Linked DNA regions of Bombyx mori. The protein of the gene in region 1 purifies or fractionates together with the protein of each later gene. This does not show direct contact. Links are inferred from orthologs where the notes say so. Each region holds a gene or a part of one and is shown in the gene's direction. Other genes may lie near its edges.

Region 1 (3,278 bases):
TAAAAGAACACTTATTACGGCATAACTATAATAGTTAGACATATGCTATCGCGACGCTTTTTGTAAATAATAATGTGTTCTACAAAGTCGTAGTACATTATTTTATTCTATCATCAATAGTTTTCGCAGGGCACGCGATGTAAAGAATATTTTAGGTAATTTTTTACACCTTCGGTTACATTATTAGAGTTTTAGTAAGGATCCCAAATTTTTTTCAAAAAAAGATTATGCCTATGTCACTCGGGAATAGTCTAGCTTCCAAACAGTGAAAAAATTTTTCAAATCGGTTCAGTAGTTTCGGAGCTTATTCAATACAGACAAACAAACAAATATTTCCTCTTTATAATGTATAGAAGTATAGATAATTGTAGGACAGAACAGTTCAATTTGTGAAAGAAATTGTTTTTTTAATATATATGGGTAACGAAATCACAGCGTTTAAAATTTGCAAGGTTTGAAATAAATTAATTTGGGTTTTATTAAACATGTTGGAGTTTGTATATAAATGTAATGGCAGGCAACACTTGACACATGATTACAGATTTCGAATATTAGAATTATTTTAAATGTTTAAAAAAAACAGATGATTGTATTCTCGTAAGAAAATGTCAATACTTCTCATCTAGACACGGCAAGAGAAACATGTAATAGTTTTATAAAAAAAATATAAAGTAAATAAGTTTATAATGCTGTAAAAGTGTTCAAGCTATCTGCAATATAATTATAATGAAGCAGTTGTGTTTTTAAATAGCCCCTCATCACCTACAGAACCCAATCCCCTCAAATTTAACCGTCCAACAAAACATAAAGACACGAGTTCGTAGTTTGTAAACAAATGGAGAATTGTTTTATTTATTTATTCAAATACTTACCATTTTGTTTAAAGTAAGCAATTAAACGATCACACAATCACAAACAATAGTTTAAACAAATTAATTAAAGACTATAAACTAATAAAATGTACAAAACAAATAAGGCGGTTACAGTTACAAAAAAACGTAGGTTATGTTTATGAACCTTTTTTTTTATAAATTTTACTGACTTGGAAACAAAGTCTTTTAAGCCAGTTTATGAAGCTTAAGGCGTTAATCTTATTTTATATGTATCTTCATATATTCTCTAACTTTCCTAATCTCTCCCATGCGAATCAGTTAAAAATTTTTTGATTACTTAGTTTCCCAAGCGTTTATTTTGCTTTGTGGCAAATACGCAAGCCGAGCGAGCCAAAATCAAACAGAAGAAGAAGAAGAAGCTTAAGGCGGAGGACCATATATTTCTTAACAGTTTGGTCAATTTTGACAATTATTTAAAATATGATTTAATTTTGTATTTTAAAAATATGCTGTAACTATGTCTCTGCACATTAAATAAAAAAAATGGCTTTAATTTTATTCAGCAATGAATCTTTTTTCAGCGTACAAATAAGGGAAAAAAATCAACAATCTTAAAGCTTATGGACTACATTCCCTTTGTCATTTGGAGAAGAACATTGAAAAAAGCGTTTTCACTGTATTTCCGTCAGTCACTATTGACGGTTAATCTATTTATTTTGTGGTTATTTCGTAATGACAAAAACTTGTATAAGACGGTTGATAATGAAACATGGCTAAATACATAGCTCAGATAATAGTTTTGGGCGCTCAGGTTGTAGGTCGAGCATTCGCACGCGCCTTGAAACAAGAAATAGCTGCATCCCAAGAGGCAGCGAAGAGGGCTGGCGGTGGACCCGAAGGAGCGCGGAGAGCTGCTGCCAATGCTTCCACAGGGTTGACTTTAGAAGAAGCAATGCAAATATTAAATATAGAAAAAGTAGACCCCGAGAAAATTAGTAAAAATTATGAACACCTTTTCGCCGTAAACGACAAATCGAAAGGAGGTTCGTTTTATTTGCAATCGAAAATCGTAAGAGCGAAGGAGAGATTAGATGCGGAACTAAAACAAACATCACCCAACTCCGAGCAGGGCCCGTCTAAAGACACTTCATGAGACTCGGCTGTGATTTAGTGTGTAGTGATTAAAATTAGTAAATTGATTTTCCTGTAAAATATGTTTATTGAGTACAAACGCCCACAATAGTGACTAGAATACATCAGTCTTCATAAACATTGATTATGCTTTAATACAAAATTTCATTGATATTATATTGCTGTAGAAAGTTTAATACAATCAGTTACATTACTTGCTAAAGCATTGTTACTTTTATTGTTTTAATAATCAATAAATTATTGCTAAGCACAACTTTTTATAATTTTATATTGTACATTAAACTACCTGACACATTTTTTTTGCATTTTCAGTAGCCAATAATGCTACAGTTACATTTTTCTTAACCTTAATAATTAAGTTTAAAATAATATGAGATATGTAAAAATCACACACTACAATATTTATTATTAAAGTTATTGACAGACTTGTGATATTCCTCAATTTGTAAAAAAGGGCAAAAAAATCATTCACTATTCTAATGACTAGACTGACTAGGTTATATGGAATGTTTTGGAAGAACTTGAGCAAGATTTAATATAAAAATACAAATTAATTTACCATAAAAGTACTACCTTCCTCCTTGTTCCCAATCTCTTATAGCGCACACAATCCAAACACTTCACAATATTATATGCTCCCTTATTAAGACAATTCTATGAACACCAATTTCTGGTTTTCAAATATGTAGCATTTCATAACTTTTCTTGTCAATTGAGCAGAGGAAATACACTACATTTTATTATATAATTAAAATGCTTCTTTGAATTATTGTTGTCAGCAAAACGGTATACAGCTCATAACAGCAATAATCAATATTAAATTTATATTCATGGCAGTGTCATATAAAAGAAAGAGACAAATTCATTATGGTTTTACGTCCATTAAGACCACAACCTCATAAGGACTACACTCTGACAAGCTTAACATATTACAGAGCCAACCATAGTAGCCTTTCTCAAAATCACATACATCCTTCCACCAGTTACCGGCGCTGAATGTGAGCTGTACGATTCCTGCGTATAATCCAAGGCCAATGGTGAAGATCACTATCAAAAATGGATAACACAAAATTATCAATGGAGCTAATACAACTTTTTTAATGCAACTAAAATTTTCAGTTATATGTGTGAATATGTTATACCACGTTATGGTCCCCATATAAAATGAGTACAAAGCCGAGATACATGTCACAAATGGAATGCAGATAAGAGTAAACAAGAACACATGAGGCCCATTACGAATAGAGCACTTTGAAATATCCATCTTGTTGTATTCTTCAGCTACGATGGTAG
Region 2 (3,940 bases), on another chromosome or scaffold:
TTGTCTATTTAGTGTTTCTTCGGGTTTAAGCTGCTTATCAACTGTTTAGTATCTGTGAAAGTGCACAAATGTGGGAAAATAAAACAAAGCCACTGGATGTAACTCTTCGGGATCCTCCCAAAAGTCTCAGTAAATGACTACCTACCATTTTACTGAGATTATATTTCATCCCATATCATCTCATCTCATCACATTTCATTTCACGTCATATTATCATTTTTCATTTATGAAAAAATATATACCGTAAAATGGGGCGATTAGGGATTGAGAGGCGAATCGGGAAAAAACCGGGAAAATCTTTCGATGCTCAATATTAGTTTTATATTCGTTGCAAAATCTTCCATTTTTTGTAGTTTAATAGTAGAATGTTGAAAGTTTACAAAACAACTCTGAATATGCATGATAATAGCTGCTAACTTATAAAAAATCACGTTTCAAATTAACTTCCTGTGGTGGTAATTATTTTAGTGCTAGAAACTTTGCTCTCTTTTATTTATTTGATAATAATAGAAGACGACTGTGATTTATAAACGTTATTTAGTGTTTGAACCATCATATATATTAAAGGTAAGTCTCAGTTGTTATTGGTTTTAATGTATTTGATAAAATAAAAATACATGTCAAAATCTGTTGTTTTTGGGGATATTGGGGACGTCTTAGGTACAAATAAAAACGAAAAAAGGGTCAATTGGGATGAGAATACGTGAAATGGAAACGACCTAAGTATAAATAGGTACAGGTTTGTAGGGTTGTCTATGTAGTTATAACAATATTTTTTAAATTTGTTGGTAAAAATCTGGTTTATTCATGATGTTTTTGTCTAGAACTTTTATTCAAAATTATCAATGTGTTATTTTATTGTTTGGTAAATATTTATATTATCAGTTAAGTATTGTTTTCTATTTTTAGATATGCCTCGCGTGTATCTATCAAAGAGTGCAAAGCCTCATAAGAGATATGATCCCTTAATATTAAAAACAGCAATAGAAGCATATGAAATTGGGAATAAGTCTTTAGTTGAAATAGCTAAGCAATTTAATATAAGTAAGTCGATTTTGCACAGACATGTAACAAGAACAATGAAATCTCAAGGTGGACAAAAATGTCTAAGTACATACATACATACATAATAAAATATTTAATATTTGTTCAGAGTGGGGGAGAGGTGACATCTCCCATGTACTTTTTTCAGCTTTTCAATATTTTTTATGCAACAAAATAAATTAATTTAAACCCTACAACCCTAGCAAATTTCTCATTTCGTCCCAATTAACCGCTATTTCCGGGTAAATAGGGATTACACCTATTTTTGCTTTTTTTGCTTAAACTGGAATGCTAGTTGCGTAGTTTTAAATTGGACAATAATGATGCCCCCAAGACTCAATCATTTTGATCCTGATATAGCATTATATACATCAACAACTACCTTAAAATTGGTCATAAATTTGGAATTTGTCCCTAATCGCCCCATTTTTCCGGTATATACAAAAGATTAGGCTGTATGGTCTGACACCGTGGCCTTTCCAGTTGGTAAAATAAAATTACTACTACTTTATTTTTCTAAATTGTGTCTAGCATAGATTATTTAGAACACTTATTAAATGAGTGTCTAGATACGAAATTGAAAATTGAAAATAACATTAACTCACTCAGTGATTTGTACACACAAGTGATTATGAATTTGTTTGTTATCAAAACCATTTAATACGCAGGTTATTATGGTAGGTTATAAAATAATCTTATAGACTTCAAATTCCAAATAGATAATAATGTTTTTTTCATAGAACATCCCAACAATATAACGTTACAGGATATCTGATATATCTTTCTTAAAAAGGGGGTCTGAAATTTTTTCTTTGGGTATTGGTTACGTTGTCCCCTTTATTGCATTAATAATAAAAGCAACATTAAATGAACAGCAGAGCAACTTTTCATCCAGCTTTCTGACACAACATAACCCTAATTTTACTCACCTGTGCGCCATTCAAAAACAAAGATTTTGAGATTCGAAATAATAAAAATAATTAGTACCACGCATTTAGTACTTAGGGTATCCAATTACTTTTCAGGCTAGCTCAATAATTCTGGCAGGTCTTGGTATGGCAGCGGTCGGTTTCGCCGGACGATATGTTCTAAAGCAAATGCCAAACGCTTCAATGAAATTTGCCGAAGCAGTGAAGAATTTACCTAAATTCGACTCTGAAACATTAGCAAATTCTAAATATTACAAAGGTGGATTTGAACCAAAAATGACGAAAAGGGAAGCGGCTCTTATTTTAGGCGTAAGCCCCACAGCCAGTAAAGCTAAGGTGAATATTTTTGATTGTCTTTAACCACCTTATTTGACAGCAAGTGGTCATCTTTAGTCATAGATACACTCGGGAGTGGTAAACGGTAGAAAGGGCTAGATAGGTCTTTTTTGTCCTTCAAACTGGAACACATCAAACTTTTATGATTACAAAAGAAGTAGGAGCATACCTTATACAGCGCTAAAAATGGCTAAAGCCCTGCTGACACATGAGGGCCCTACTTCCTAGCAAGTCTGTACGTGAGCAGTGAAATCTATCCAGGTGTACAAGCTAATATTTATGATGCACACTTCTTCTCCTCCTTTTTTTCCTACTACCCTCTGCTGGGGTGTAGGACTCGAATCAAATCCTTCCATTTACATCGGTCTTGGGCAGTCTATACATATATTTAACATCTGCATAACTTAGTTTTAATGTTATTGTTAGCTGTAAATTGTTGTATTATAACTAATAACATCTGTAACTTATAAAATGGGTAGTAAAATTAAATAAAACAAGATCAAAAATGTTTCCTTAGCTAGACAATGTTTATAAGTACATAAAAAGTACATACATTCACCTTAAATTCCAATCAACTATTAATTATTAGTTTTTCCTTGCTTAGATGAGTCAACAAGCTCATGCTCCAAGTTGTTTTGAAGCTCCATACATTATATGTATCACAGTGTGAATACTTCCTCAAATATCAACCTTGCAGTTGAAGTCTCAATTGAATTGTATAGGTTGTTAACTTTGTCTAATTTAAAACATTAAATATAGCGATATGAAACATATTTTTCCAGTGATTATAAAGAATACATATTTGATTTTCAGCTATAAATATCATGGTCACATAAAAAGCCCTCATTTAGATATTAAAATATCTTAATAGTAATTGTACAGTTTATTTCATTCACAAGTTTCTTTTTCAGATTCGAGATGCTCACCGTAAAATAATGCTATTAAATCATCCTGATAGGGGTGGGTCACCCCTCATAGCAGCAAAGATCAATGAAGCTAAAGATCTACTTGAAAGTGGAAAATCATAGGCACAACAATATTTTTTGTAAATACGAAAGTTTTGCAGACTTAGTTTTGATTGTGATCATTTTGTGTCTAGATTTAATAATGAATTTAGTATTAACAAATGTTTAGTTATTTAATTTTTAGTTGCATTACAAATGCAGCTGCTAAGTAGAAATATTTTTCAAATTACCATGGTTTTTTATTCTTAACCTATTTCATTGAATTTTCTACATATAGTGCTCATTTATATGTATTATGCCATAAATTCGTGTGTGGCGGGTAGCCATCACACAACGCAAGGTAATTGACAGATGCCTGAATCTCGCTTACGACATTTTCAAGATAAAGCGCATATATACAAGTTCCGAATAACAACATTCGGACGTCATCTCGGATCCTCCCGATCCACTAACGGTGCTTTTAGGTACTTCAAGCACCGGTCACCGTTCTCGTCGAACCCGTCGCTTGCGACGAAGGGCTCTACGAGTAAATTAACTCTCAGACACAGCCCACTGAGTTTCTCGCCGGATCTTCTCAGTGGGTCGCGTTTCCGATCCGGTGGTAGATTCTGCGAGGCACGGCTCTTGCTAGGGTTCGTGTTAGCAACGTCATCAGGTTTGAGCCCC

What was found.
Region 2: the proteins of mitochondria-associated granulocyte macrophage CSF signaling molecule (region 1) and DnaJ domain-containing protein purify together in Homo sapiens (affinity purification with mass spectrometry; 3 studies listed by BioGRID and IntAct, with this or other methods). This does not show direct contact. The link is inferred for Bombyx mori from reciprocal best matches to the Homo sapiens genes PAM16 and DNAJC19.

What each region holds. Positions count from the first base shown.
Region 1 is NC_085113.1:10,832,280-10,835,557, reverse strand, and holds mitochondria-associated granulocyte macrophage CSF signaling molecule, read left to right. Parts: upstream 1-1,557; 5' UTR 1,558-1,602; coding exon 1,603-1,986; 3' UTR 1,987-2,626; downstream 2,627-3,278. Other genes in the region: DNA replication licensing factor Mcm2, read right to left, coding at 873-875; transmembrane protein 169, read right to left, coding at 2,851-3,278. UniProt on the Homo sapiens protein: Regulates ATP-dependent protein translocation into the mitochondrial matrix. Inhibits DNAJC19 stimulation of HSPA9/Mortalin ATPase activity.
Region 2 is NC_085121.1:12,782,564-12,786,503, forward strand, and holds DnaJ domain-containing protein, read left to right. Parts: upstream 1-1,585; 5' UTR 1,586-1,718; coding exon 1,719-1,721; intron 1,722-2,069; coding exon 2,070-2,309; intron 2,310-3,220; coding exon 3,221-3,337; 3' UTR 3,338-3,438; downstream 3,439-3,940. UniProt on the Homo sapiens protein: Mitochondrial co-chaperone which forms a complex with prohibitins to regulate cardiolipin remodeling.